Linked DNA regions of Canis lupus familiaris. The protein of the gene in region 6 purifies or fractionates together with the protein of the main gene of each other region. This does not show direct contact. Links are inferred from orthologs where the notes say so. Each region holds a gene or a part of one and is shown on either strand. Other genes may lie near its edges. The genes, in order: PPP6R2, PPP6C, PPP6R3, AP2M1, PPP6R1, ANKRD28 and ARHGEF2.

The links.
Region 1: the proteins of ANKRD28 (region 6) and PPP6R2 purify together in Homo sapiens (co-immunoprecipitation; 4 studies listed by BioGRID and IntAct, counting the BioPlex papers as one, with this or other methods). This does not show direct contact. The link is inferred for Canis lupus familiaris from reciprocal best matches to the Homo sapiens genes ANKRD28 and PPP6R2.
Region 2: the proteins of ANKRD28 (region 6) and PPP6C purify together in Homo sapiens (affinity purification with mass spectrometry; 9 studies listed by BioGRID and IntAct, with this or other methods). This does not show direct contact. The link is inferred for Canis lupus familiaris from reciprocal best matches to the Homo sapiens genes ANKRD28 and PPP6C.
Region 3: the proteins of ANKRD28 (region 6) and PPP6R3 purify together in Homo sapiens (co-immunoprecipitation; 3 studies listed by BioGRID and IntAct, with this or other methods). This does not show direct contact. The link is inferred for Canis lupus familiaris from reciprocal best matches to the Homo sapiens genes ANKRD28 and PPP6R3.
Region 4: the proteins of ANKRD28 (region 6) and AP2M1 purify together in Homo sapiens (affinity purification with mass spectrometry; 3 studies listed by BioGRID and IntAct, counting the BioPlex papers as one, with this or other methods). This does not show direct contact. The link is inferred for Canis lupus familiaris from reciprocal best matches to the Homo sapiens genes ANKRD28 and AP2M1.
Region 5: the proteins of ANKRD28 (region 6) and PPP6R1 purify together in Homo sapiens (co-immunoprecipitation; 4 studies listed by BioGRID and IntAct, with this or other methods). This does not show direct contact. The link is inferred for Canis lupus familiaris from reciprocal best matches to the Homo sapiens genes ANKRD28 and PPP6R1.
Region 7: the proteins of ANKRD28 (region 6) and ARHGEF2 purify together in Homo sapiens (affinity purification with mass spectrometry; 3 studies listed by BioGRID and IntAct, with this or other methods). This does not show direct contact. The link is inferred for Canis lupus familiaris from reciprocal best matches to the Homo sapiens genes ANKRD28 and ARHGEF2.

Annotation. Positions count from the first base shown.
Region 1 is NC_049231.1:17,754,787-17,758,788, reverse strand, and holds part of PPP6R2 (serine/threonine-protein phosphatase 6 regulatory subunit 2), read left to right. Parts: intron 1-565; coding exon 566-681; intron 682-2,091; coding exon 2,092-2,177; intron 2,178-2,505; coding exon 2,506-2,586; intron 2,587-2,935; coding exon 2,936-3,033; intron 3,034-3,504; coding exon 3,505-3,562; intron 3,563-3,724; coding exon 3,725-3,849; intron 3,850-4,002. UniProt on the Homo sapiens protein: Regulatory subunit of protein phosphatase 6 (PP6). May function as a scaffolding PP6 subunit. Involved in the PP6-mediated dephosphorylation of NFKBIE opposing its degradation in response to TNF-alpha.
Region 2 is NC_049230.1:57,968,839-57,973,419, forward strand, and holds the start of PPP6C (serine/threonine-protein phosphatase 6 catalytic subunit), read left to right. Parts: upstream 1-1,605; 5' UTR 1,606-1,789; coding exon 1,790-1,864; intron 1,865-2,248; exon of another isoform or gene 2,249-2,476; intron 2,477-4,581.
Region 3 is NC_049239.1:49,801,605-49,805,606, reverse strand, and holds part of PPP6R3 (serine/threonine-protein phosphatase 6 regulatory subunit 3), read left to right. Parts: intron 1-1,788; coding exon 1,789-1,942; intron 1,943-3,361; coding exon 3,362-3,468; intron 3,469-4,002.
Region 4 is NC_049255.1:17,241,201-17,245,873, forward strand, and holds the start of AP2M1 (AP-2 complex subunit mu), read left to right. Parts: upstream 1-1,634; 5' UTR 1,635-1,753; intron 1,754-3,796; 5' UTR 3,797-3,839; coding exon 3,840-3,913; intron 3,914-4,673.
Region 5 is NC_049222.1:103,182,303-103,186,304, forward strand, and holds part of PPP6R1 (serine/threonine-protein phosphatase 6 regulatory subunit 1), read left to right. Parts: intron 1-621; coding exon 622-734; intron 735-839; coding exon 840-953; intron 954-1,547; coding exon 1,548-1,710; intron 1,711-1,795; coding exon 1,796-1,948; intron 1,949-2,098; coding exon 2,099-2,233; intron 2,234-2,598; coding exon 2,599-2,663; intron 2,664-2,752; coding exon 2,753-2,868; intron 2,869-2,964; coding exon 2,965-3,050; intron 3,051-3,156; coding exon 3,157-3,246; intron 3,247-3,317; coding exon 3,318-3,415; intron 3,416-4,002. UniProt on the Homo sapiens protein: Regulatory subunit of protein phosphatase 6 (PP6). May function as a scaffolding PP6 subunit. Involved in the PP6-mediated dephosphorylation of NFKBIE opposing its degradation in response to TNF-alpha.
Region 6 is NC_049244.1:27,505,073-27,509,074, forward strand, and holds part of ANKRD28 (serine/threonine-protein phosphatase 6 regulatory ankyrin repeat subunit A), read left to right. Parts: intron 1-2,923; coding exon 2,924-3,011; intron 3,012-3,254; coding exon 3,255-3,372; intron 3,373-3,935; coding exon 3,936-4,002. UniProt on the Homo sapiens protein: Regulatory subunit of protein phosphatase 6 (PP6) that may be involved in the recognition of phosphoprotein substrates. Involved in the PP6-mediated dephosphorylation of NFKBIE opposing its degradation in response to TNF-alpha.
Region 7 is NC_049228.1:41,826,981-41,830,982, forward strand, and holds part of ARHGEF2 (rho guanine nucleotide exchange factor 2), read left to right. Parts: intron 1-1,240; coding exon 1,241-1,317; intron 1,318-1,865; coding exon 1,866-2,035; intron 2,036-3,244; coding exon 3,245-3,312; intron 3,313-4,002. UniProt on the Homo sapiens protein: Activates Rho-GTPases by promoting the exchange of GDP for GTP.

The DNA.
Region 1 (4,002 bases), on a different chromosome or scaffold from region 6:
GGGTCGGGGGTGTGACTGGGGAGACGTTGGACTCAAAGCTGTGTGCGATGGGAACGTGGATGGCAGCCAGGCTGTGGGCCTCAGGGTGCACGGAGCTCAGTCGGGGGCCGTGACTGGCTGGCTCCCAGCCGCCCCGGCCCCACCCACGTCTGTGTCCTGCCCGTGTTGTGCTCGGTCAGCCCCCATCAGCACAGAGCAGGGATGTCCTGCATTTTCGTCTAAGTCCTCTGCCCCACTGGGTGTTCCTTCGGGTCAGCCAGCCTGGGCGAAGCTGGGAGGGCCTCTGGAGCCGGACAGCTCAGGGGTGTCTGGGTGTGGGGCGAGGGGCACGGCGCTGAGGCCCCACGTGCCCTGCTGCTGGGGGCGGTGGCATCTGCCTCGTTAGCACTTCCTGGTGAGGTTGGAGTGATTGGCTGGCACACAGCAGGTGCTCTCCAAACAGAAGGGGCCCGCAGGTAAGGCTGCGAGGAAGGACCCACAGGGGGCAAAGGTCAGGCCCTGGGGATGCGTAGGGAGGAAAGGAGGAAAACCCAGTGGTCCCCTTGATGCTGCCACTCCCTTTCAGGGCAGCGGGTGGCATGAGGCGCGGCAACATGGGCCACCTTACCCGGATCGCCAACGCAGTGGTGCAGAATCTAGAGAGGGGCCCCATGCAGACCCACATCAGCGAGGTCATCCGAGGTGAGCCCTCCCTGCCCTCGTTGCCCTCCTGGCAGCAGGAGCCCTGTGGTGGGTGTTGCTGCTGCCTGTGACCCCTGACTGCCACCTTCTGCCCTTGAGCCCCCCCAGCAAGTGGTATCAGGACATGCTTTCCCAGGTGGGCCTGGGTCACGAGGTTGGTCCTCCTTGTGCCCAGAGACCCTGTCAGGCGCCTGCGGGGCAGCTCGTGGCTCCGGAGCCAGCACTGTGCTCTACCCAGGGACCCCGAGGCCTGCCTGGACGCCACCCCCCTCTGCCTCAAGCAGCTTTGCAGATCTTTCCAGCCAAGTCTGGGGAGCCGGGGGAGGTGGCCTCTGTGCTCCAAGAGGGGGCTGTGGGCCCTGAGCCGAGGCAGCCTCTCCTCTGGTTGGGCCTCACCTCTGCCCTCAGCCCGAGACACCTGCCACCCTCCCAGCCTGGGGCCAACACTCACCCCTCTTTCTGGCCCTCTCATGCCCTGGCCAAGGTCTACAGGCCTTGGGTGCCGGGCCTTGTGAGCTGAAGAGGGCCCAAGGGGGTCTTGGTTAGACCGGAAGGCAGGCAGCTGGGAGGGCCCGAGTGGCCCTGCCAGGGTGGACGATGCCTGGGCCAGCCTGAGCAGGGGGGTGGAGAGGCCCCGGAGCTCGCAGTGGGCAGATGGGGGGATGCACGAGTGAGCCGAGGAGGCGAAGGGTGGGCAGAAGCCAGGACCTCCCCAGGGCGCTGGGGCTGTGTTCACAGCAGCTTCACGATCAGGACCGTCCTCCTCAGCCCTGGGTGGGATCTTGTGCCCTGTGAATGGTGTTCACACAAGAGGCTGAGCCGCCTGGTGGGGTCCCTCCAGGGGTGTGGGGAGATGGTTGTGCAGGGCCCCAGTGCCCTGATCGTGGAGAGGGCACGGGCAGGTGCTCAGCCCATCTCCCATTGTGCAGCTGAGGAAGCCACACTGGAAGCCTCCAGGCTGGTTGTGCAGCAGGTGTAGACCTGTGGTCTTGGCTCACTGGCTGCCTGCCCCCCCGCCCCCAAGAGAGTCCTTGCTGTGGTCCCTCTGGCCAGAAGCTCTGGGTGGCCGTCCAGGATGGGAGCAAGGGGCTGTGCTCGGTCCATGGCCTCCAGGCTAGTGTCTGGCCCGAGGAGGCTCCCCACGGAGGGACAGTTTGGGGTGCGGGAGGTGAGCCAGCAGCTCTCTATCCTGGTGTCACGTCACTCAGCTGTGAACTTTCTAGAACACAGGTGCATGGGATGTACTGAGAGGGCTGGGGAGGGCGGAGGATGCGGCCAGGCTGCAGCCCCCGGTGCTGAGGTTGGGCCCCGCCCTGCGAGCGCCCCTGCGGGACCCCTGGCCGCCCTTCCAGCAGCCGCCCTGTGCACCCTGCTGCCGTCCCCTGGCTCCCCAGCACTGCTCCCTTGCAGGGCTCCCCGCGGACTGCCGAGGGCGCTGGGAGAACTTTGTGGAGGAGACCCTGGCGGAGACCAATCGCAGGAACGCTGTGGACCTGGTGAGGGGCTCGGCTGTGCTGCTGCTCGGTGTTGGCTGGCGCTGGGGCCACGCCCTCCTGGGTGCTTGTGGAGCGTGCGTGTGTGCGTGTGCACCCCTGTGGCCCAGCCAGGTGCAGTGGGTCCCTGGTTCCGCGTCCGGCTCCAGGTCCTGGGGCCCCTACCGCCTCAGCAGAGCGGGTGTCAGCCCCTCCCCTGACCCCTCAGGCGCCCTGCTGCGTCCTGGGGCTCCTGGTGCCCCAGGCCCAGTGTGTGCTACACCGCGGGGAGGGGCGGGGGTAGGAGCCCCCAGGCTACGGGGCTCACATCCACCCGCTCTGGCTGTTTCAGGTAAGCACCCACCACCTTCACCCCTCGAGTGAGGATGAGGACATGGAGGGCGCTTTCCCTAATGAGCTGTCCCTGCAGCAGGTGCGTGTGGCCGCTCTGCACACTCAGGCAGCCCTTTCCCGCCCTCGGCGGCACTCAGGCTCCAGGCCGTCCTGCCCAGCGCCTTGCTGAGCTGCAGCAGGAAGCAGCCCAGGGGAACGTGCTGGTCCCCACGCACCAGGCTCCAGCAGGGGAGGGGCCAGGTGTGCAGCCCCTTGAACGAGGGGGGGCCCGAGCCACCCAGTGGATGATCGTGAGACACACGAGGCTGTTTGGACACGACCCTGCGTTCGTGTTCCCCCGAGAGGTTAGGTTGGGAGAAGCCGCGAGGCACTGCTGCTTCCCTGGGAGCGGCCTCGGTCTGAGGCCTGCCCTGCGCCACCCCTGCCAGGCTTTCTCGGAGTACCAGGTCCAGCAGATGACGGCCACCTTCGTGGACCAGTTTGGCTTCAATGACGAGGAGTTTGCCGACCAGGATGACAGTGTCAAGTGAGCTCCCAGGATGTGCCCGGGGCACCGTGTCCCAGCTGCCCACCTTGGTCGGGAGCCCCATTTGGATCCGTCATCACTGCCCACTACCTTGTCCCCTGTCCATTTTGGGAGGAGCTGAGTCCTCGGTGTGGCCCTGTCCTGCCTGGGCCTGGAGGCCATTTGGCCACTTCCTGAGCTGAAAGCAAGTGTGACTCAGAGTCACTGTGGGAGGGGCCAAGCTGGGACACCTCCAGGAAGGCAAGTCATCACCGTGCAGACCAGGGACAGAGTGGGCCCAGGGAGGAGGGCAGGGGCCACCCCCTCCATCAAGGTCCCTGTCTGCTTGCACCACGTGGCCGCCTGCAGACACGTCCACCCCTGTGGGCCTGGCTCTTTTCCCTGCGAGGTGCAGCCGGGGGCACGCACAACAGTCCGTGGGGTGTCGCAGGCCCTGGCGGCTACGTGCTGAGTGCCCCCCGTGTATTGCAGTGCCCCCTTCGACAGGATTGCAGAGATCAATTTCAGCATCGATGCTGATGAGGACAGTGTGAGTCCCCAGCTCTGGGTGGGTGGTGAGTCCCCAGCTCTGGGTGGGTGGGCAGCCCGAGATACAGGGCTGCTTCATGCCTGGGCCCCGTCCTGAGCGCCCCCTGCCTGGCTGAGCCCCGCTGGGAGCCGCGTGTGATCACATGCGTGCTCATGCTTGCAGCCCAGTGCAGCTCTGTTTGAGGCTTGCTGCAGTGACCACATCCAGCCCTTTGACGATGACGAGGAAGATGACATCTGGGAGGACAAGGAGATGCATTGCATGGCCCGGGTGACGGCCAGAGCCAGGTGTGAGGCCCCCCCGGTCCCCCAGGCCCCTTGAGGCAGAGGCCGCAGAACAGTGTGCACACCCCTAGCCCTGCCCTGGCACGATGCTGTGCGTACACAGGAGGGGCGGCGCCTGGGTGCCCCGTGCGGAGCTGGCTGGTGGCTGCTCTGACC
Region 2 (4,581 bases), on a different chromosome or scaffold from region 6:
ATTGCCTAATACAGTCTCATACGGCAGCCAGAGTGATCCTTTTAAAATGAGTTACACATATTACTCCTCTGCTCAAAACCCTGCAGTAGCTTCCTATTAGATTAAAAGTAAAATTTCATGTCCTTTCCTCTTACTCAACCACACTAATCTTGTCATTTCCAAAATTCCATCTAGAGGATGTGAGGGCCATCTGGCTGCGACATCTGTCACCCCATTGATCGCCAGGGTTGATTCAGCTGATCTGGCTGGCTAGGCGGGTGTCCCCTTCCTCCCTCACCGCTCCATATGTGTCCCTCCCGAGAAGCTGTGCGCTCGGTGGAAGAGGACGACCATCCCTGGTAGAGGAGGACTGTTCTTCGGTCAAGGGTATACCAGTAGCTGCACTCCCCTGCTAGAACCTCCCAACAAAATTCCATCTAGATATGCCTCCATATGTAATTGCCCTGAAGCATCTGAATGGCTAACTCCTCTACCTCTCTGTTGGTTCTTAGAAATGCATCACCCCATCTCCCTTACACTGCTGCTTTTTTCCTTCTCTCTAGCACTTATCATTTCCTAATAAATACAGTTATTTATTATGTTCTGCTCCTCTTCTAGAATGTAGTTACCAATTGAGGATAGGGATCTTTGTCTATTTTGCTTGCTAAATATCCTAAATGGGGATCCCTGGGTGGCGCAGCGGTTTAGCGCCTGCCTTTGGCCCAGGGCGTGATCCTGGAGACCCAGGATCGAATCCCACGTCAGGCTCCTGGTGCACGGAGCCTGCTTCTTCCTCTGCCTGTGTCTCTGCCTGTCTCTCTCACTGTGTGCCTATCATAAATAAATAAAATAAAAAAAAAATTTAAAAAATAAAAAATAAAAAATAAATATCCTAAATGCCTACAACTGTACCTGGCATACAATTGGTGTTCAAGAAATAGCTGTTCAATGAATGTTGAAGTTACACTAAGTGCCAGGTCCTGGGTTTTTTGCACTAAGGGTAGAACAAAAGACTCCCTGTCCTCATGAGACTCACACTGAAGCATGTTTAAACCAGGTAGACCAGTCTCTACTCCCCTACCTAGCTCCTGTGAGTTTTGGGGCAAGTTGCTTAAGCTTTCTGAACCTTGCTTTCTTATCAACTGTTATGAGGATTAAACGGAAAAAAACAGCATTTATATGGCATTTAGCATAAGAAATCCTTAATCATTGTTTCCCTTCCCTTCCATGCTGAAAGACTGGTACCTGATGTCTCTGCCACAAGCATAGGCAAGGTTTTCACAAGGACTTGAAAAGATGCAAACAGGTTAACTACGGCCAGGCTTACCAATTGTTAAATGAAGATGTTCTGGTGAGAGAATGCTTAAAAGGGTCGAAGTGAGAAACCAAGGAATGGCTTCGGTCACCTACTTTGTCTTTTTGCATCGGAAAAGGTTCGCTGGGCCCACAGAAGTGAAGGTCTAAACGAAGGGGGGCGAGGGGGAGAGAAAAAGTGGGGTAGCTGGCCACTACTGAAAACTACAAATCCCAGTACTCCCCGCGGCAGAAAACTACGGGTCCCCGCAGGTTTCACTGTCCGGACCAGGGACGTCTCTAGGGACTTGCAGCCGGGGTTCCGCGGGAGAGAGCGTGGGGCAAGGAGAGGCAGCGGGGAGAAGCGGGTCAAGTTTGACGCCGCTGCGCAGACGCCTCTCACGGACCGGACGTGACGTAAGAAGAGTTCCGGCTTCGGCCTCCGCCGCTGCCGCCGCCGCCGCTACTAGAGCCTCAGCCGCTGCCGCTGCCGCCGTCGGGGCTTGTTATTTCTAAAATGGCGCCCCTAGACTTGGACAAGTATGTGGAGATAGCGCGGTTGTGCAAGTACCTACCGGAGAACGACCTGAAGGTGAGCCCGGCCGGGGCGGGAGCGCTGCTTGCGGGCTCGCCCCTTCCGGCAGTGGGGCGCCCGCCGGCCGGCCCTTCCTCTCTCCGCGGGACCCCCGCCGGCATCCCGTCGCGGCGGTCGCCTAACGAGGGGCCAAGTGACCGGATCCGACCGGGCGTCACGCGGCGAGCGGGGAGCCCGAGTGCCCCGAGTGCTGTCCTGGTGCCCTCGGTGGGGATCCCCGGGGGTGCGCGGCCTCTGCCCAAGGGTTGCGCCTCCTGGCCTCGGGCTACCCCAGGGCTCCGAGCCCTGACAGCTCTGCTAGGAGGACTTCTCTCCCGTCACCCTGACGCCGGTTTCTCGGAGCCCGACCGAGCCCTCACGGACAGTACTGTCGGAATGGGGTCAGCCCCCAGAGGTGGTGACAGGAGCGCGGGGTGGCGGGCGCCTGACAGGAGATACCGGCCCCGGTGTGTTTAGGTCCCTGCGGAAGGCGAAGACGGCGGTGGGCCAGAGCTGCCTGGCAGTGACGTCAGAGAACGTCAGGTCGTCCCTCTTTCCGTACCCCTTGTCCCAGGTGCTCGTCAGGAGTGTTGCTTGACTTGGGGTTAATTCAGATGTGAACCGGTTTTCCTGTCCGTTGTTGATCCAGTTTCAGTGGAAAAAGTAGTAGGCCCTCCGTACTTTTCTGCCCCCTTAAGTTGTTTGCTCATAATCTCTTATTAACCGAAGGTTTCCTTTTCTTCGTTTCCCAAAGGACAGGACGAGTTGTTCCTTGCTTCTGCCTAGGCCAAGTTACAGCAGATGCATGTGTGAGTAAAGGAATGGACGTAAGAGAAAGGGAACGTGTATACTCCTTTTCTGAGAAGTGTTTGTATGCACAGTGCTTAGGTGTGTGACAGTGTTCAGAGGTTAGTGCTAGTGCCTGTTTCGCTTTTTCAGTTAACTTTGATTTACTCTGTGTTAAGTGGGTAAACTGTTGGTAGTTTTGAGTTCTTTTTTTTTTTTTTGGTTTTGCCCCCTTTCATCTGTGGATTTACAGCGATTTATCTTTGCAAATTGTTTTAAGGAAGAGATTTATTTTGTTCTGTTCACACAGAAGTTGATATTTGACATCAGTCAACAGGTATATGCAAAATGTTTAAGGTCACATCAGCTCTCATGGATGTGACTTAATTGTACTTACATGTTAATTATAGGTGCTATGTGATAGGGGAGTCATTCTTGTGCATTTCTCCCTTTTTAATACGATACTTTGATTAAAATAAGGACAAAGCCAGGGGATCCCTGGGTGGCGCAGCGGTTTGGCGCCTGCCTTTGGCCCAGGGCACGATCCTGGGGACCCGGGATCAAATCCCATGTCGGGCTCCCAGTGCATGGAGCCTGCTTCTCCCTCTGCCTGTGTCTCTGCCTCTCTCTCTCACTGTGTGCCTATCATAAATAAATTAAAAAAAAAAAAAAAAAAAAAGGACAAAGCCAGTACTAGCAACGTAGCTTTTATTTATGCTCATCTGAGTCCACATTAGTTTTGTGGCTTCCTTCCGTTCTATGCTTTTTTGAGGAAATGAGGATATAACCAACACTGGGACCTAATTCATGGAAAACTAACCACCTGTCCTTTGGTAGCATTGTTAATTCCATGTATCACATTGATTTTCTTGTATCAGTGATTTGATGTAGAATTTTCTGTTTTTTAGTACATGTAAAGCTGTTTTTAGGCTTTGTGTTTTTAATTAATAAAATGTTGATTATTATAGTATGTCTTGATATTAACTTGAGATTGGCTATTGAAATGATTTGGAAGATAATTAGTTGGATTTTCTTTAGATCTTGTAGCTTGATAAACTTTGAATTTCCTTCCCACCTTAAGGAAATATAGTTATTAAACCATTTCATTTCCCTTTGCAACACTATTGGACTGTACTTATGTATTTCTGTTTCTTAATAACTCCCCACCCCCCATCTTCTGGACAATTAATGGGAAAAAAGGATTCTGAATTTTTCTCTGTAAGTGAAGGCTCTTCTTTGTCTTGGAAATGGTTTTATCAGATTAATTTAGTTGTGCTGTTCATGTCTGGTATATTTTTAAACAAATTTAATTTTATTTCTACTTCTTGGCATGAAATAGAAACTAAAATTAGATAAGCCAAGAAAGTATTCCAGGAGCACCTTTTCTGAGGCTTTAGAGCCAAAATAAAAGATTCTGTCAGAGGAAGAAAAATAATTGGGGCCACTTAATGGTCATGATGGAAAAGATTTGTTCTGGTAGAAAAGAATACAGCAATTTGCCTGTGTTTTTAATTTGACTAAAAATTGGAGGTACTAAATAAAATAATAAGTACATCGGGTGTTTTATATTTAATTACAATTTCTCTATATCTAGATTGGAAGTGGTCGAATCATTAGTACGTCATTGAATCTGCATAACTTTTGTAGGAATAAAGTTGAAATACATGAAAGTGAGTAGGCCAAAGCATAACCTTCCTTAAAAAAAAAAAAAAAAAAAAAAAAAAAAACTCAGGGACGCCTGAGTGGCTCAGTGGTTGAGTGTCTGCCTTCAGCCCAGGGTGTGATCCTGGAGTCTCAGGATCGAGTCCCACATCGGGTTCCCTTCGTGGAGCCTGCTTCTCCTCCCTCTGCCTATGTCTCTGCCTCTCTCTGTGTCTCTCGTGAATAAATAAATTCTAAAAAATAAAAAAAAGCTCAGGTGGTTCTCATCCACAATAAAGATTTCAGAG
Region 3 (4,002 bases), on a different chromosome or scaffold from region 6:
ACAACTTCAAGCTGAGACAATTTGAAATGGGTTCTTCAGAGTTGATTTATGAAGCCTATAACCTAAAACTTGTCTGGCTTCAGTGCTTATTCATGTCCTGGTACTTGCTAAGACGACTTGCTTTCACTGGACTTTAAAAAAAATGCCTGTTAACTTCTGAAAGTCCAGGTACATTTTTATTTGGAAGAGCCGTGTGGGTTGACACTGGAGCTTTCCTCAAGGCTGACAGTGCTTCATGTTCCTGGGGAAGGCCTTTGTGTCCTTAGTCCTGGAGGCTAAAAGCTAGCTCTGGGCATCAAGTGGACCTCACTACTGCAGAGTTGGCCAGGACCTTAATATTAACCCAGCACAGCCCCATGGGACAGACCTGGAAAGCGAGAGCCATGGAGGAAAAGAGGTTTGGCCTCTCTCCTCATTGCTTTCCCAGCTCACCATCTTCAGGAGGAAAAAGTGGGCTTTTCTCTATTAATTCAGTTCGAGTCCACATGCCTTTATCGAGATCCAGCTATGTGCCAGATGTGGAACACAGACTCCATCTAGAGTCTAGAGTCTCCTGAAGAATGGAGAGATTGTGGTAGATTCTGGGGCGCTCCCCTGGGAAGGTCATTTCTGTGTAGCCTAGCATGGTGTGCAGTGAGAGCACATAAACAGACCCAATTTCACCTGAAAGGACACATCCCCGAGGAAGTGACGTTAAAACAGACCTACAGGTTAGATCCAACCTTGGTCAGCAGTTCGTGCCATGAGGCTGTTTTGATGGATAGAGGTGAACAGCCAGATGAAAGGAGAAGTAGGGATATGGTCAGGAAGGGTCCTGAGCATAGGATCTTCTGTTCTCATGGAGTTTGGGGTGTGCCACCTGCTGTTTACTAGCCCAGAAGCTCTAAACCCCTGAAATTTTGAGTTTTTTATGGAATCTTCATTAAATGGGTACTTTTGATCAAATAACTGGCCATTAGTGATTTTCTCCACTTCTGGCCCCTCTTCCCTCCTAGGAGGGTGGGCTATGGGATAGGGATAAAAGTTCTAGCCCTCTAACCCCAGGCTAGTTCTCCTGGCAGCCTGCCCAGTATTGAGCCCCATCTTGAGGCCACCAGTCATCTCTTTAGCATACAAGACACTACTTCAGAGATTCCAAGGGTTTGGAGGTGGTGGTGAGCTGAACACAAATATGTATTTTTTCTTGTGTCACCAGAAGTCTTCCTCTTTGTGTTAGCTACAGTGGACTGTGGGAAGGCCATTAAAAGTATGAAGTGGGGCCACATCTGGATTGAGATGCATTTAAAGTTTCCAGTTTATTACAGTTGAATATACAACATTCTGCTTAAAAAAATTTTTTTTTGGAATAACTTTGGATTTACAGAAAAGTTGCAGAGATTATACAGGGAGTTGGGGCTGTGTACCCTTCCTTCGCCCATCTTCCTCCTGGTGTTCATATAATCTTGGTACCTTTGTCCAAAGTAAGAAATTCTAATATTCTCAAAAAAAAAAGAAAAATTATAATATTCTTTTATATGTATCTTTGCATCCTCGTGTGATATTTCTGGTGGAGAAAAAAATCTTAGAAATGGGAATTAGGGATTAAAGGAAGTCTACAGTTTTATAATAAGATAGATGTTATCACATTGCCTGACACTGATTCTGCTGTTTCCACCTCTATCAGGGGTGTGTTAGAGTGCCCTGTCCCCACCACTCTGGCTGCCTCCTTGCAAATGTTTCTGAAAAATATCTTGGATTGCACTGAACTTCTGAAGTATTCTCAAAATGAGATTTCTGCTCTCTTTTTAGCACCCAACTGGTCAGCCAACTTTGATGTCCCCATGGAGACAACTCATGGTGCTCCCTTAGATTCCGTGGGTTCTGATGTCTGGAGCACAGAGGAGCCGGTGCCAACTAAGGAGACGGGCTGGGCCTCCTTCTCAGAGTTCACATCTTCCCTGAGGTGAGTGTGTGTGTGCTCGCTCCCTGAACCTTCCATAGGAGAACTGGGAAAGGGGACGGGGTCAGCTGCAGACATTGTCTCTCACCTTGATTTACTCCCTACATGAAGATAATGCTCTACGCTAAGTCACAAATCAGCACAGGGGAGCTAGCGACACAGTTATGGATTAACAAGGAAACTAGTCTCTATATTCCTTTTATCCAGGTGAGCTGGGAAAGGCAGTGGGCTGTGTACACATAGTAGCCCAGGAAGATAGGGCCCCAGGAGGTTATATAGTAGGGTGCAGACCATCAGAAAACAAACAGGATTGAGGAGGATAGAAACAGGATAGAGCGAGAGCTCCTGACAGGCACCTCTGTGTGGAGTGTTACAGAAGAATGCACAGTGTATCTTGAATTTAACAGATACTCTGAGCTTGCATTTCACTTGTAGCTAATCTGGTGCTGTAAATTACAGGGCGTGATAGGATGGCTGTCAGTCTTGTTATTTGTAGTATTTTTGTTGACAGCAACCTATCTTTTCATAATTTTCCTGAATAATATTGCCAGCATTTGAATATTAACCATGGATTTCATGTCTTACTAGGCTTAGTTTGATTTGCTAAACATTGTTTTGTCTCAACTACACATTTAAAAGACTTTGTTGCTCTCCGTGCTGTCATGGAGAGCAAAAAAGTGTGTTTTTTAACTAATCACTGGTAATAGGCAAGATGGGAGCGTGAACTATCACAAGCTCACGGTTACCATCTTCAACAGTCAGGGGGCTGGCTGACACCTGTGTGGCTTTACAGCAGTTTCAAGGATAGCAGGAAGCCATTGTCAGGGGCAAAAGTGAGGTTGTGGGAAATGTCTCCAAAGTATTTTAAGTTATTTCACTAACTCCACTCCAGCACTGAACAGTCGGGTTTCCACCTCTTGTTTTTTTTCTGTCTTTTGTAACTAGAGGATAAGACCCCCTGGTTACTTGGAAGCTTGCTGCCCTTTACCCCTTGTGCTCAGGTCATGTTTTCTTGTTAAATATCACTAAGGCCCTCAGGCAGTTTGGCTCAAGGTAAGTAGGGATTTTTGTAAAAATCACAGCAGGTACAGTTGATGGTGCACAGTGTCAGCCCCTGTTGTCCCAGCCCTTGGGACCGAGGGGGAGGATGAGAGACTGGTGCGTTTTGAACCTGTCTGCAAACCTCTGCGAAATCCCCATGCTCCTATCCTACTGACTTAGCAGAATATTTACCTGCCTGCGCTCACCTGCTCTGCAAGCAGCCCTCTGCACCTAGATCTATCTCTGTGTACTTGGAGTCTGTGACAGACTGCTCCTGTCACCCCAGCGAGCCTACAACTTTGAAAGGGTTTTTGTGAATGAATCATGGTAACTGAGGGCTATTTGCCACTGCTAACATCTGAATTTTCTCTTTTCTAAAAGTACAAAAGATTCTTTAAGGAGTAATTCTCCAGTGGAAATGGAAACCAGCACTGAGCCGATGGGCCCTCTGACTCCCAGCGTTGGCACGCTGGCTGCGCAGCCTGAAGGTGGGTGTGGAGAGCAGGGCACCAGCTGACCCAGCCTGCTGGCCTTTCACCTGACTGTTGTTCAGGCTTTGACTGTATGCTTAGTTTTCTAGATCTGAAGAGTTGCTTTTGTCTACATAACAGTTTATAAAGCTAGTCTTGATTCTTAGGCTCAAGGGCTCAAAGGGCTCAGGGAGTTGAGGTGGTAGGTCTGATGTCCTCAGGGCAACTGATAAATTGTGTATTCATTCCAGAACCATGGCATGGTGATTTTAGAAGGCATTAGGGACCTAAGTGGTCAGTTGTTCAGTCCTATCAATATACAGAAATGGAAACAGACCCAGAAAAGAAGAACATCTTTGCCTGCAATGCCCAGTGTGAATAAAATCAGAATTAGGCGTGTCAGTGTTTTCAAGCCTCGCTGGTACCAAGTTCTTTTGTCCTTTGGAATTTGCTTTGCTGGAGCATGCGTGTGTGTCTTAGCATGTTTCAGGCATAAGGCTGTTTCTTTTCTTTTTTTTTTTTTTAAGATCTTATTTATTTATTCATGAGAGA
Region 4 (4,673 bases), on a different chromosome or scaffold from region 6:
CAAATTTTAGATCTGTGTTATCCACTGGACGTCACCATGGACATATCTATATGGACTCAACTCATTTCCCCCATCAAGTGTGTTCCTCCTTAATTCCAACTCTGATGATCTTTAGCACAGTCTACATAGGCATACCAGCTAGGAACATTTATGGACTTAAATTCTTCCCCAACTCTTACTAGTCAGCATATCATATCCATTCCACTTCAACAGTCTTTCTTGAATATGGTCCTTCTTCTCCCCCCGCCTCTACCCTAATTCATAGGAGCACGGGATTTGGAGTCAGGTTGTTCTGGGCTTGAATCCCAGCTCTACTACTTTTTGGTTTCGTGATAAGAGAGTTACTTAATCTCTCTGAGCCTCAATTCCCTCATATGTAAAATGATGATAATAATACCTACCTCACAGGGTTGTTGTGAGGATTTAAATTAGACTTGTACGAAAAGTGCCTAGCACAGTGCCTGGCACAGAGTAGAATAGGTGCTCAATAAATGGTAGCTATTATTATTACTACTACTACTATTATTATTTATTCTAAATTGGTAGGGTATTATTGATTGAAGATAAAGCTTTTGGAAAGGTAGCAGTGAAGATCTGAGTGCCGGTTCAAGATTTAGAAATGCCTGTATTCAGTCACTTAATGGATTCACATGGTGACCACTGTTTGAGGAAGGCCAGATCTTCATCCTGCCACATTCTGGCTTCTAGCAGGAGGATGCTGGGACAGTAGGGTTTGTAACCAGGTTTGCCCTTTTTTGCCCTTCCTCCCATGATGGGCTCAGCACCAGTGAAGGCATAAGGGAAGCTCTCCGTACAGAAAGAGAAGAGCTAACATTTTCTTCGGGTCCTGTAAAAGTCAAGCAGGGCTTTCATATCTGAGGGTTTGCTCTGTCTTTTCTTCTCAGCTTGGGTGTGAAGATTAACTCTGTTCATTAGAGAAGGGATTTCAAGTTCCATGTCCAGCTAAACTTGCCAGCAGTTTTTTAAGCAACATATATGCCATCACTAGAAGGCACACAGGTCCTGGCCTCAAGGGGTCACATAGGTATGTGTAGTTGGGATAGAACAGACATTCTTGAAAAGCTTTGGCTAGTTTCTTACAAGTATTTGCCTCCTCCATCTTTGCCCTTTTACTTGGGTCTTGATCCCTGGGAAGAGGCTCACATCTGGAACAAATATTTGATGAAAAGTCTTGGGAAAATCAGAGCTGGTGTTAGAAAGCAGTAAATTTAGTGCAAACACTTCTGCCAAGTCGTGTGTGTGTGTGTGTAAAGTGAGCACAGCCAGTGTTCGGACTCCAGAGACGGAAAAGGCCTACAGCAATCTCAAGCTTAACAGATGGGCTTCAACAAATGGCATTAATCCTCCGAAGCTCTCCTAGACGCTGAACAGGATGGATTGCAGACTACAATTCCCAGAATGCTCGGTAGGGAAAATGAAGCGAGTGGAGCGGAGTATGATGGGATGTGGCCACGCCTATCCCTCCCCAAGGCACGCCTAACCCGCTGAAGGCAGTCGGTAGTTGTAGTCTTCCTAAACCTAGAAAGGCTAAAATTGTAAGCTAGAAGGCCGAAGGGCCTGACGGGATTTGTAGTCGGCTCGGTCGCCGGACGCGCACGCGCAACTGTGTTCGGGGCGGGGCCACGGCACTGCGGTGAAAGCCGAGGCAGCGGGCTGGCGAGCAGGGGGCGGGCGGACATCTTGGGATCTGGAGAGTGGCCGGGCGGGCCGAGCAGGCGGCCGCGGACGCCAGGTAAGCTCGGAATCCGGCGGAGAGTAAGGGAGAACGCGTACCCCGCTACCCAGCTTTGCCCTTCCCTGCACTGCGCTGCGCGAAAAGCTGCCCACAGCCGGGAGGGGCCTCAGCCTTCTGATCTGGAGCTGACGGCGGGGCGGGGGCGCCCGGGGCGCGGTTGCAGGGTGGGCAGGGAGCGGCGCCCTCCACCGGCAGTCCGGCGCCTTCCGTGACAGGGAGACCTCCTGGGGTCCCCCCGGAGCCAGGATGCCGCGCGGCGCCCCCTTCCTCGGGATCGTGACAGCCCCCCTGGTGCCTTGGCGCCGCCTCCTCCCAGCGCAAGGACAATTCCCCCATCTCCTCGACGGTGACACCCCCTCGGGCCGTCTCCCTGGGCTGTGACAGGCCTCCCACCAGCCGCACCCCCTCCCCCCAGTTGAGTGACACCCCTCGGCTCTTCTTCCTCAGACCTGTGACAGCCCCCGCAGCCCCGTGGAGCCATGTTCATCCCCGCGATGTCTTGCTCCCCTAGACGAAGAGCCCACCCCCCGTCATGCCTCCACACTTGAACCCTAAAGCAAGTTAACGCCGCCCCAGCTTTCCCCTATTCGCCACTTGTCAGTCTCCTCCCTGCTGTTTCAAAGTCTTGACCTTTGCCACACTGGAAACTCCTTCCTCCAGATGTCCCCGTCCCCCCCCCCGCCCCCCAGCCCCCAGCCCCAGCCCTCTTGCTGCTGCAGGTTCACCTGACTAGACCGCCTGGCTCCTTCTGCCCGTCCTTCCCCTTAGCTCAGTATTCCCCTCCTGCCCTGGGCCCCACCTCCGCTCCTTCGGTGCCCTGCGGCCCCTACCACTTGATATCTGTGAACTTGCTTCTTTGCCCGGGGCTCTACCTCCCATTTTTCATTTCCTTTCCCAGCCTTTTTTGGGACTCTGGGGTGGAATGTGTCCACCACCACCTTGAGAGACCTCTCACTGAGTTGGGGAGACCCTGATGGCCTCAGTAATAGGGCTTTATTTTCCAGTTTAGAAAAGTCTGCTAAACTCCCTCTGCCCTGTAAAATCAATACCAGAGCTAATTCAGGAAATCTAGAATTAAATTAACCCTTTTTCTCCTTGCAAATATTTTGACCCAAATAATTTGGATAATGCACACCTATTCTCTGCCCCTTCCTTATAGGTACTCAGGCCAGAAATGAGTTATGTCATGGTTCTGGAATCATAGAATGTCAGCTGGATTGATCTTTGTGTTTTATAAACCTGTACTCCCACCCCCTTATTTTTACTGCACTTGGGAACTGAGAGGGATCCTCCCTTTTTGAAAGGGAGGTGGTTAAAAATAACTAATAAGCAGCTTGGGTCATTGAAGTGTAGTCGGCCAAGGCTGGGCCCTTTCTCCTCTGCTCTTTTGCCTGCTTATCTGACTGCCTGGGATTGGTTGGAGCCACACTCCAGGGTCTGTGTCAGGGCCTAAGGCCTCCCTTGTCTCCTCCCCACACCCTGCACACCCTTTCCTGGAATGTTTAGACTTCTGTGAATTAGAGAGCCACAGGTTCAGGCCCTGCTGTCTTCTCCGAAGGGTTAGTGGAGCCTGAGAGACCGGGTGCTCCTAAAGCCGTGCCTGGGGGCCCCAGGCCTGAACCAAGTGGAATAATTCCTACCGCCATTCCTGCAGCCGCAGGCAGGCCTTCCCAGTGACTCACCGGCTAGAGTCTGAGTGAGAGTCTGCACAGGAAGGGGCCAAAAAGGATCTGTGCTGAGCTCAGCACTGAAAAGAGGGGGAGGGGGCTACACTCTGGGCTCAGCCCCAGGAAAGGGAGGGTCAAAATGGCCTTAGAATCCTGGGCCCAAGTCCCTCTCCATTTCTTTCTCCTTTCCAGTGTGAGATAAACAGGAACTGGAGCCTGGCTAAGGGGAGGGGCATGCCTGGGGAGGGCTTCAGGGTCACTTACTGGAGGGTTGAGTCAGGAAAAAAAGCCCAGCCAGTGACCTGCACAGCCCCACAGGGGATGTTGGCAGAGGTTCTGAGGCCTTCCCTTACCCTGCCTCCGCCTGTCCTAGGTCTGTTCTCAGAGCGATGGGCCTTGGAGACTGAGCTGCCGCCATGATTGGAGGCTTATTCATCTATAATCACAAGGGGGAGGTGCTCATCTCCCGGGTCTACCGAGATGACATCGGGTGAGTCCCCTGGCTGAGCCAGCTGTGTCCCCACCCCTCATCCCTCCTCCCCAGCATGCAGGACCAGGTCCGTTCCTACCAGAGACTGGACTTTGGCCACCCCCATCCCTCGCTGCATCTTAGAAGCTCAGCTAATACAATCTGGTTCCCATTAGGTCTGGTGGTATTGGCCTGGCAGCCAGTTATTGGCCAATAGGTGGGACCTGTGGAATGGTGTGGCCCCCCACAGTCTTAGGAACTCTTGTCCTTCCTGCCTTCTCCTTTCCTTAGTGACAGACCTAGTTGCTAGAAATGAGTGCTTTTGCCCTGGTAGATGAATTCCTCCCTTGAGGAGGAGGGAGATCTTTCTCCAGGGGGTGAAGTTAGTGGACAGGCTAGTGGTACTAGTCCATCTAAGTCTTGCTCTCAAAAGCCCTTCTCACGGTGAGAGCCTTCACTGAATTCTCTTGAAAGCTTCTCCAGGCTGCCAAATCCTCTCCTACTCCCTTTCTCAGGAGGAGGCAGGCTGCTGACTCAGCTGTTTTCAGTTCCTCTGGGCCACTCCTAGAAGAGAGGTTGTGAGCAAGCTTGGGGCACTCTCCGGGTCACTGAAGGAAGGGCAGGGAGGCCATGCTGCCCTTCCTGGCCTACCAGAGTAGACCCGGAATAGCTCCTTGTTCTAGGTCCCTCAGACCTTAGCAAAGAGACACAGCCTGCCTTCTCACTCTGCCCCACACTGCATGCCACTATTCTTTCCTGAATGAGAGGACATGTCCTAGCC
Region 5 (4,002 bases), on a different chromosome or scaffold from region 6:
TTTCCTGTAACATCTTCACCGAAGGTAGAGGGTTATGTACCATATGGGTCACATGTTTAAAATAAAGAACCTAGAGCAGCATTTAATGTGTTCACAAAATTGTCTGGTTATCACCTTGTGGATCTGGGAATAATTTTTCCTTACTCCACGAAGGAAAGCCTGTGCTCCTTAGCTGCCCCTTCCCCTCATGGGCCCACCACTCCCAGGGTGCATTTTGCCTTGGGGTTTGCCTCTGCTGGACTTGTTATTGTGAATGCAATCACATGGTGCCTGGTCTTGCTGTGTGGCCCCTGCGTCAGCACCGGGTGTTCCGTGTGTATCCATGCAGTGGAGTGCTGGTGCATGGACGAGTCACAGTAGCTTGTGTGCTCACCAGTTGGTAGACCTCGTGGTTGTTCCCTCCTTTGGCTACAGCAAATGGTGTGGAAACTTTCCTGGTTTCCCAGGTTCTCACCGTCTTCTTTCCTGATATTTGATGCCTTGTGTTCCTTGCCTTGGCACTTGTGTCTCCCTGTCTGTGTGATCCTCCACTCCTCTTCCTAAGGGTGGGGCGGTCAGCTCCAGGACATGAAGGGCACAGGTGCTGGGCTGGCATCCTCAGCTCTCTCTTTGCCTCCCCAGCAACATTCCAATGCATCCCAATCCCTGTGCGACATCATCCGCCTGAGCCGGGAGCAGATGATCCAGGTCCAAGACAGCCTAGAGCCCGACCAGCTGTTGACCACCCTGGAGAAGTGGGTTTGTGGTTCCAAGGCCTAGGGCGGGAAGATGTCCGGGGCCCTTCACCATGACCCCCACCCCGACCCCACCCTCATCCCCTGTCCCGACCCCTGCTCCAGGCAGGAGACGATTGAACAGCTCCTGAGCAACATGCTGGAGGGAGAGCAGAGCCAGTCTGTCATTGTGAGCGGGATCCAGGTGCTCCTGACCCTGCTGGAACCCCGAAGGCCAAGGTGAGGGGGCCCTGCCTCCCCAGGCAGCTATTGCCATCCCCCAGAGACCCTCTCCTTCTTTTTAGGGGTGAAGGTGTGGGGACTTGTCATCTACAAGCAGCATCCCCTTCTTGGTGGCCACTTAGGGTCTTTTTTTAAAGAATCTGGTTTTTTTTTTTTTTTTTTTTTTTTTTTTTTTTGTATTTTTAAAATATTTTATTTATTTATGAGAGAGAGAGAGAGGGGCAGAGACACAAGTAGAGGGAGAAGCAGGCTGTCCGCAGGAGCCCGATGTCCGATGTGGGACTCAATCCTGGACTCTGGGATCACACCCCAAGTCGGGCAGACGCTCAACCGCTGGGCCACCCAGGCATCCCACCACTTAGGGTCTTGGGAGAGGAGTTCTCAGTTCCTGTCTGAGGCCATGTAAACCACCTGTAGCTTTGAGCTGACTGGCCGAGTCCAGGGCCCTATAGGCCCATGATCCCTGGGCATCCCCCCCCCTCCCCCCGTGCACGCTGTACTTCCACAGGAAGCAGCTTGTCTCTCCCTTCCACATGTGCCATACATATGCATATGCGTGCACACAGGCCCTGCATCCTGTCCCCCCTGCAGGTCCGAGTCTGTGACCGTGAACAACTTCTTTAGCAGTGTGGATGGGCAGCTGGAGCTTCTGGCCCAGGCGACCCTGGATAGCAGCATGTCCAGTGTGGGCGCCCTGCACGCCCTGCGCCCACGGCTCAGCCGTTTCCACCAGCTTCTGCTTGAGCCCCCTGAGGTAGGCTGGGAGTCCAAGGATGTAGGGTGGCAGGGAGGGCAGCCCCACGGTTCTAGGTGGCACTGAGCCTCCCATGTGCCTGTAGCTGGAGCCACTGCGTACTACCTGGGGCAACCTGGCCCCGCCTCTGGGCAATACTCGGCTGCATGTGGTCAAGCTGCTGGCCAGCGCTCTGAGCGCCAACGACCCAGCCCTGACGCAGGAGCTCCTGGCACTGGATGTGCCCAACACCATGCTGGTGCGGAGAAGGGGGTGGGGTGGGGTGGGGTGGGGTGGAGGGCCCGGGCAGGGTGGGGAAGGGCGGGATGGGGATGAGGGGGTGGAGGGGGCCCTGGGCAGGGGTGGATGAGGGGCCTTTCCATGCCAGCCTCCACTGCCCGCCCCCCAGGACCTCTTCTTCCACTACATGTTCAACAACTTCCTGCATGCCCAAGTGGAGTTCTGTGTGAGTGCCATGCTCAGTGCTGGGCCTCCTTCCGACAGCAGCCTTGAGATGCCTGTCCCAAATCCCGTTGTGAAACATGTAAGCTGGGGTTCCCGGGTACCCCACTCTGTTCCTGTGGGTCACCCACTGTATCCCTCTGCCTTCTCTAGGTGGCCTCACATGCTGGGGGCCAGGGGCTCAGCCTTGTCCTTAGGTCTGTCTGGGAGAAATGGAGGATGATGTGCAGGCGGGTGCAGACGGGAGCCCTCAGGGGGCAGCAGTGTCCTCTGGGGTGACAGATGCTACTCTAGGGGAGGTACTTCCTGGGTTATAGCCTAGGGCCTTGGACATGGCCCCCACCCCCCCTCCCACTCCTCTGTAAATCCCCCTGGGTGCTGGGAGGGGCACGTCCTGGCCCTGCCCCCATGTCCCCGGTGCCCCCACTGTCTCCACTGCCCTCACAGCTCCTGCAGCAGTGCCGCCTGGTGGAGCGCATCCTGACATCCTGGGAAGAGAACGACCTTGTGCAGTGAGCGGCCCCTGGACTTCTTGCCCTTGGGGAGGGCGGGGCGGGGGCGCATGGGCCCATGTCCAGCTGCGGCCTCCGATCTTGCCCAGGTCTACCGGGGGCCCCCGCAAAGGCTACATGGGCCACCTGACGAGACTGGCCAACGCCCTGGTGCAGAACACGGAGAAGGGGCCCAATGCTGAGCAGCTGGGGCAGCTGCTGAAGGGTGAGGGTCCGGGAGGGTGTCGCCCCAGGGCTGGGGGCAGGGCTGCTGGCTGTAGTGGCGGGGGGCCTCACGTCCTGTCTCTTTTGCGCTGAACAGAACTGCCGGGTGAGCAGCAGGAGCGGTGGGAGGCCTTTGTGGCCGGACCCCTGGCCGAGACGAACAAGAAGAACATGGTGGACCTGGTAAGGCACCGCAGCTCTCTGCCGCGGTTCTGTTCTCCACCTGCACCTCCCTGAGGCTGCACCCTGCCATCCTGGCCCTCACCCCTTGCCTGCCCCCATGCCCCAGGTGAGCACGCACCACCTGCACTCCTCCAGCGATGATGAGGACGACCGGCTCAAGGAGTTCAACTTCCCCGAGGAGGCAGTACTGCAGCAGGTGGGCTGGGGGCCAGGGGCCTGCCCCTTTCTGCCTGGCCCCACCCATCCCTGACCACTGCTCCTCCACAGGCCTTCATGGACTTCCAGATGCAGCGCATGACCTCAGCCTTCATCGACCACTTTGGCTTCAATGATGAGGAGTTTGGGGAGCAGGAAGAAAGCGTGAAGTGAGTGTGCTCTTCTGTAGGCGAGCAGGGGTGAGAACACAGCAGGTGGGAGCACGAGTACTCGCTGGCCGTGTGGCACTTTCTGCCAGGCTTCCTGCGTCCTCCTTGGTCCCACCAGTCCTGGCACTTGGGCTCAGCATGGGGAGCGACCAGCTGGGGCTCCTCTGTCCCCTCCTTGGGGAGTCAGCTGCGTGTGTAGCTGGTGGGATGACCCCTTGATGCCAGAGCAGCCCCCAGCCCTCCACCAGGCCCTGTGCTTACAGGAGAACTTGAGCTTTCGGTGACTTCTACAGCTGCTTTGTTGAGCAATAGCAATTTAACTTGGTGTTGCAGTCATCAACTTTCTTCTTTAGTTACCAAGTTTTCTACCACAGGCATCTGTTCTTTTTGTAGTCAGAAAAAAAAAATAAGAGTTTTCTACCGTTTTGCAAATTGATGAGCAAGTTTATGGCAGCAAAGCTGGAGGGGAGCTCGGGTCGGGGTGGGAGCGAGGTTGGCCAGGAGGTGGTCTGGGAGGGAGCCCATCCTCTGTAAGGTCCCTGGAGGAAGTGCCATTGGAGTAGAAGGGGTGACTTTGAGGAAGGAGT
Region 6 (4,002 bases):
AAAGAGATCAAATGATTCTTCTTTCAAAGAAAAGCCAATAGCAAGATTATGATTGCTTTTAAAAAATCATGATCTACCTTAGAAATTTATATATAGTAAATTTATATAGTTGTGTGACTTCTGTAATACTTTATCAACACAATGCAAATTTTTTTACTTCTTTTTGATGGAAGTTATTTTGGATTGGTACATGCTTTCATTGAACAGTTGGTGAACATGCTGGCTTATTGCACCAGAGTGCTATGTTTTTTTTTGTTTGTTTTTTGTTTTTTAATTTTTTTTATTTATTTATGATAGTCACACAGAGAGAGAGAGAGGCAGAGACATAGGCAGAGGGAGAAGCAGGCTCCATGCACCGGGAGCCCGACGTGGGATTCGATCCCGGGTCTCCAGGATCGCGCCCTGGGCCAAAGGCAGGCGCTAAACCGCTGCGCCACCCAGGGATCCCCACCAGAGTGCTATGTTAAACATGTAGTCAGACAGGAGTTACAGAGCACCTACTTTATGCAAGATCTATTCTACCATATGATTTTGTGATGTTGTAAATATGTGAAAATGCAAAATTATGTAACCATGTCATTATATGACTTGGTACTGCTGTATTTCAGTTTCACAACTCTATACGAGAATTAGCAAATCAGTATTTATCTTAAATATCTAAGACTGTGGTATACTGGAAGAAATCCTAGCTAAGTATTTTTTTTCACACCCAGTAGGCCTCTTTTATATGATTACATTCATTTCACTTGGTCTGTTTTAATAGAGTGATTTTTAAGGACATATTTTAATATGGGTCTTGGACTTCTATTCCTTTAGGAAACTTGCATTTTCCTAAAGGTAACACCAGCTGTTGCTCCAAAGTAGCCTTTCAGAAACTATTAGATATTCAAGCAGGACTCAAAACCAAAAAATTTTTAAATGGATTAAAATTCCTAGTAAATGTGTATATATAAACTGCTATATGTTGGGACACATAGGTGGCTCAGTGGTTGAGCCTCTGCCTTTGGCTCAGGTTAGGATCCTGGGATCAAGTCCTGCATCGGGCTCCCTGTAGGGAGCCTGCTTCTCCCTCTGCCTATGTCTCTGCCTCTCTCTGTGTCTCTTATGAATAAATAAATAAAATCTTTCAAAAAGCAAAACAACCAAAAAACTACTATATGTTCAGAATTATGTCAAAATGCAATCATTTTCTATTATCTTATTCTGAAAAAAATGAAGTTTATATATCATTCTGCAACTTGAAAAATTATGTTGTAACCACAGATCATTTGCAGAGGTGATTTATAAAGCTTTCATGGAGTGGTGCACACTTAATTGGTCAGTATTGAATCAAGACGCTAGCCAGGGATCCCTGGGTGGCGCAGTGGTTTAGCGCCTGCCTTTGGCCCAGGGCGCGATCCTGGAGACCCGGGATCGAATCCCACGTCAGGCTCCTGGTGCATGGAGCCTGCTTCTCCCTCTGCCTGTGTCTCTGCCTCTCTCTCTCTCTCACTGTGTGCTTATCATAAATAAATAAAAAAAAAAAAAAAAAAAAAAAGACGCTAGCCAGTCCCTCAGTGGCTGACCAATGTCAGATAGTCTGTACATCTCATCTGCTGGAAAAGCTAGCTGCTACAGGTTATTATTGATGCCCACCTATATAATAAATGCAAACCTGGTTTTATAGATACCTTTTAAATTTGGAGATTGTTATGGAGCACTTTATTCATAAGTCATGAAGAGGACATTGCGATTTTTTTTTTCCAAAAGGGAAAAAAAGTTTTCTCCTATATTGGCATTAGACATGATGTTTTAGGTATTGAGTTTAGAAAACACAAAACTCCTCAGGAGCTACTATGTACTGAGTACACATGGGTCCATTAAGAAGTGCCGGGACAAACAGTTTCCTTCATGCATCCCCAAGTGAGATGCTTCAGTGACAGCTGTTACTGATCACTATGAGAGCTGCTGGCAAAGTTTAGCATATATATAGGAGTGATTTTGTTTTAATTAATAACTATTAGAATTAAATATAGCTGTTAGAAGGTACTGTGGCATATTAGGGCACCTAGCTTGCTTTCATTATTTTGTCTTCTTTTAATTAGGAAGAACAGTGATAGATATTCCTTTCTTCATCATTATGTGACTTACTACTTTAAACTTCAAATTTTATTGTATTATGGGAAGGATCTGAATTTTGCAGGGGATTAACTTACCTTAAAAGCTTACTGTTTTCTTTAGGCTACTTCTGTTTTATACCTTTGCCCATTTTTTATGTGTTTGGACATATAAATGCCATCTTTAGGTAGATCATTTCTTCTTATTATACATGTTATCAGTTGAGATTCTTTCATAGTACCCAACTAAAAGGTAGCTTAAATGACAAGTGTTTACCCTCTCACATAAGATGTTCAGAGGTAGAGTCAGCTCCACGATTGATTGATTAAGCAATGGTGTCAGAACACTCTGTTCTTTTGCCTTTTCAGTCATGGCACAGAATGAGAAGGATTGGTCATTATCGGGGATAAACATATTTCCCACAAGCCCTCAAACTTCTTAGCATCTCAGTGGCCAGAACTGGACCAGCACTCATCTTAAAACCAGTCACTGGCAAAGAACAGAATTGTGATGGACTTATCTAATCACAGTTTCATCCCTTGGCTGAAGGCAGGCCACCTTCCCTTGATCACTCTGCCACCCCCAGAAAGCCAAATAAAATGAGCATTCTATTAGCAGGGCAGATGGCCGTAATTTACCATGAGGAATTTATATCTATTCAGTTTCACCAACAAAGGCAATAGAAACCTTTGTATGTATGTATTTTTTCTTTGACTATTAAATTCAATGAAACTATCCCACAGTTATATCTAGAAAATGTGCCCTAAGATGGAAATTTTCTATTTTACCATTGTAATTTCTGAAATATTAAAATATCACTTTTCAGCAACAAATGGTCATTCAGAGTGCTTGAGGCTACTTATAGGAAATGCAGAACCACAGAATGCAGTAGACATTCAAGATGGAAACGGACAGTAAGTTTTAATAATTTTTAAATTAATTTTAAGATGTGTGTTAATCTTCATACTTTTGCCTCTATTCTAGTAAGTCTCTTATGGTATGTAACTGAATAATAGCAAGTTTAGTTTTCCCATTTAAGTATACTTTAAAGTTGCATTACAAAAAGGCATGTTTAGAAAACGGGCCAGCACAACTGTTTGTTTTTCATAAAGTGGAGTCTTAGGTAGTAACACTGAACCTATTCTGTTGTTGCTCAGGACTCCTTTGATGCTCTCTGTTCTCAATGGGCACACAGACTGTGTTTACTCATTGCTGAACAAAGGAGCAAATGTAGATGCCAAAGATAAATGGGGAAGGACAGCATTGCATAGAGGGGTAAGTAAAAATATTCTCATTGCCTTTCAAAAATTTCTTAGGATCTCATTTTGCCTAAAACTGAACTAGGCTATGTTTATGTTTCTTCATCAGATTTTTACCAAATAGTTTTTGAATAATAATTTTAAACTACTGAAACACAACTTAATCCAGGAAACAGTACTGTTGGAACAAAATTTGAAAACCCTAAGTAAGACCTTGAGTAGAATTAATGTCAGTTTTACTTTTTCTCAGTATCACAACTGTTTTCTTTTTTTTTGTTTTTTGTTTTCTTATACATTTTTGCCTTTCACCTTTGAAACCTTTCACCTTTTTCTTTTTTATTTTCACAGATTTATAAGTTCTTTATTCCTGTTTTTCATAATACTTGTATTTTGACAAAGTTACTGCTCATGGGTTTTTAAGCCAATTCCAATAAAAATACTGAATTATTCAAAAAATGATAAATACTTCGACGGACAAATATGAGGAATACAGGCTTAAATTTTTTTTTAATTAGCTAAAATTGGCAGATAGTACCCAAGATAATATATTCAACTACTTGCAAATGCTTTTTCTTTCAGGCAGTTACAGGCCATGAAGAATGTGTAGATGCATTACTTCAACATGGTGCTAAGTGCTTATTTCGAG
Region 7 (4,002 bases), on a different chromosome or scaffold from region 6:
GACAGGGAGGACAAGGAGGACAGAGAGGACAGGCAGGACAGACAGAAGGATGGGCAGGACAGAAGGACAGGCAGCATGGAGATGAGAGAAAAGAGCAGTGGGGGTGTGTGTGGGGAGTCACACTTGCCCAGCCCCTGTCCCCAGACCACCCTGGCTGCAGCTTTCCTCCCTAAAGTGAGACACAGGGAATAGCCTGCTTTGGGTGTGAGGAGTGCTGGCTACAGCAGGCCTGTACCCCGGGACTGAGCCTGCCCCCCCCCCCCCCACCGCTGTGTCCCTGTTGTGAAATCCCCCTTTACAGGCTGGGGGATGGCGGTGCCTACCGGCGCCTTCCTTCATCCCCTTCTCTTTTCTGTTCCTCCCACACAGCAACTAAGAATATAAACCATGGGGGTTAAAAATAGCAGGGCTGGAGAGCTTTATTTCTGAAGCATTTAGTGAAAGCCCTCCCCTCTATGTGCCCACAGTTGAGTGAGATATCCAAGGGCAAAGGGTGAGCCTGTGTTTTCTTGGCTGTGCCATCTGAGTTTTAGGGACTTGACCTTTGTCAAGTTAAAGTGTGGGACTCAGGATTGGAGCGGCTGGAAGGGGGTGCAGAAGACAGCCAAGGTGCCTCTGGGGTCTGAGAAGACAGGAGGGGTGGATAAGCCTGCCTGTCTCCTGCCTCCTGAGCCCTGGCATTGCAGGGGGCCAGGGGATTTTAGGTCAGACAGCCGAAAAGCTCTTATGTCAGTTGCTAGGCACAGAATTGAAAGGGTGGCTCCTCCCGCTGCGGGAATACATTTTACTCTCATGAAAATTCTGGACCCTTTCACCCAGAAAAGCGCATGTGTGCGTTACAATAATATGTAAAATTGCTTCTGCAACTTCAGAAGGTTTGCAGAGCCCTTGAAGCCCAGCAGTGGACATACTAGGGGTCTGTAGGCCCCAGGTTAAGAAATTGGCATCCGCTGGGCAAAGAGGATTTCCTTCAGATGCATGGGTGTCCCTCTGCAGCTTCTCTAGCCGAGAAGCTCTTTGGTCTGGTAGCACACGGATCTTTTCCCCTGGCATTTCTGAGCTGTAAGAATGGGCAGGTGGAGGCCACAGAGGTAAGAGGAAGCACCTGGAGAGAAGAGAGGCCGGGAAGGGGCTCCTCAGGAGCCATGAACGGACAGGTTACGCCTGGACCCTGAGAAAGAGGTGGGCAGCTGCCCAGACCTCTGCTGCTGACCATTCTCCCACTTGTCCCCTCGGCCAGATGTGCTCATGCTCCTGATGACAGACGTGCTGGTATTTCTCCAGGAGAAGGACCAGAAGTACATCTTTCCTGCCCTGGTGAGATCTTCCTCCTTCTCCTTTCCTGGCATGGACAAGCATCACAGCCTCTTCTTGCTTTTCTCCCCAAGCTGGAAGGAACCCTAGAATCCTCCAGAGTCAAATGGCTATTGTGACCATTGCTATAATATCATAAGGAATAGAAGTAGCTAACAGGTTATTATGACTGTGAGGAGGGCCTCTTAGGATCCCTCCTTATAGATGAGGAGAGGAAACCTTAAAGGGTTTTTTTTTATGTGGTTTTTTTTTTTTGTTGTTGTTGTTTTGTTAGTACTCTCTACATTCAATGTTTGGCTTGAACCCACAACCCTGAAGTAGCCGCATGCTCCCCCAACTCAACCAGCCAAGTTCCCTGGTAAACCTTAATGTTAATTAACCCACCAGAGGTCACATGCACTCCTAAGTCCCCTCTGGCTACACCAAAACCAGGGACTCTAAATTTATATTGCTGGCTGGCTCTTCAGTCCTTCAGGTACTCTGGCAAGACTGAAGACCCTGAGATCCCAGGGTCAGGTTCCCAGGCTGAGTCCTTCCATTCTGACTTGCAGGACAAGCCCTCAGTGGTATCACTGCAGAATCTGATTGTACGGGACATCGCCAACCAGGAGAAAGGGATGTTTCTGATCAGTGCGGCGCCCCCTGAGATGTATGAGGTCCACACCGCATCTCGGGATGACCGGAGCACCTGGATCCGGGTCATTCAGCAGAGTGTGCGCGTGTGAGTGTGTGTATGGCCTCAGGGAGTCTGCAGCCAGGCCACAGCAGGCTCCGGGGAAAGAGCCTGGGGTTCGGAGCAGGAGGCAGAGGCTGGGGGAGAGAAGCACAGTGTCCTGAGGCAAGGGCCATCGTATCCTGGATGGTCAGACATACCGTGACAACCCCGAGCATCTTTCAGGAGCCTGAGCTGGCAAGCAGAGGGGTACCCTGAGCTGTCACATGGGGGCACACCTGCCAGCCAACAGGACAGTATCAGGCACAGAAACATCTCAGTCTGGAGGCAGTGGGCTATTATTTGGATTGTATTGCATTTTACCTTTATTTTCTAAAAATGGATGAAAGAGGGAATGAGGCATTGACACTAGAGCCAAACCTCACCCAGTTGAGACAAGAAGTAAACTGTTCAGTCTGCCAAGGCAGTGGACTTTGAGCTTCTGTGGGATGTGCATAAGCTTTGAGGCCATTGACTATGTGTCTCTTGTGATTAAAAAAACAAACAAACAAACAAAAAACAACGGAAAAAAACGCATGTAAAACATTCAAAATGGATTTTTGAAGATTATGCAAAAAAAAAAATGAACTCAGTCAGGATATTTGTAATTTTTTTTAGCTTTTAGAAATGGATTTTCTCCACTCTGTAATGTGTAAACTTTTTTATATTTCTGCAACTTAGACTTTTGGACAGATTTTTCAGAAATTCATACAAAAGTATGACATTGCCTGTTGTAGGAAAACAGTGCAAAATACCTGTTCCATTGACAATGGATCCATGGTGGCCTCTCTGAACAGTATTAATATTTGTAATTGTGAAAATCATAATTCATATTCTTTGTCATCGATTTATTGAGCTTCTGCCATGCTTGAAGCATTGTTACATTTCTTTATTTAATTCTAACAAAAAAAAAACAGTGAAGAGAAAAAATGTCATACCCATTTTTCAGATGAGAAATAGACAAGCTGCCACCTGGTAAATGGCAGGACCAGGATTTGGGCCAGTCTGCTTCACGCCAAAGCCTGTAGTGCCCATCTGCACGGTGCTACCCCTGCAGGTGGCCCATGGAAGGGTGCATAGTCCACTAGAATATGATAGGGGTCAGGAGTGAAGTCAGGGCATGGGGCTAGAGAGTCTTATAGGGAAGCACAGAGCGTGTTTGGGGGAAGGAGGCTGATTCCTGATCCCTCAACCCCACCCTACTTGTTACCCCTCTAGATGCCCATCCAGAGAGGACTTCCCCCTGATTGAGACAGAGGACGAGGCTTACCTGCGCCGAATCAAGAGTGAGTCCACCCCCAGAGCTGGTTAAGTAATTTATAATACACCCACGAGATGGAATACTGTGGAACTGTTTGTTTGTTTGTTTATTTATTTATTTATTTATTAAAGATTTTATTTATTTATTCATGAAAGACACAGAGAGAGAGGCAGAGACACAGGCAGAGGGAGAAGCAGGCTCCACTCAGGGAGAAGCCCGATGTGGGACTCGATCCCGGGACTCCAGGATCACGCCCTGGGCCAAAGGCAGGTGCTAAACCACTGAGCCACCCAGGGATTCCCCTGTGGAACTGTTTAGAAAGCTCATGAGGGCTAATGCAGATCCATAACCAGAATGTATTGTTGAGTAAAAAGAGCAAGGTTTAAAACAATGTAGAGTATATGCTAACTCTGGTGTAAAAATAATGGGGATAGGTCTGTGTCACATGTGGTGTGTGTGTGTGTGTGTGTGTGTGTGTGTGTGTGTGTAGTATCTCCTGAAAAGGAGCTAGGAAGACCAGGGTTGAGACATTAATCTACTTTTTTTTTACTTTTATTAGAGTGTGAACTAACTGCTATACAAAAAGACCAACAAAAATCAGTTTCTTAAGCAAGATAGAAGATTATTTCTCTTTAGTCCACAAGTGGGAAGTACAGGGTGTCAGTACATCTCTGCCATCTTTAGCATAAAGATTCCCCACTTACCTGCCCAAAGT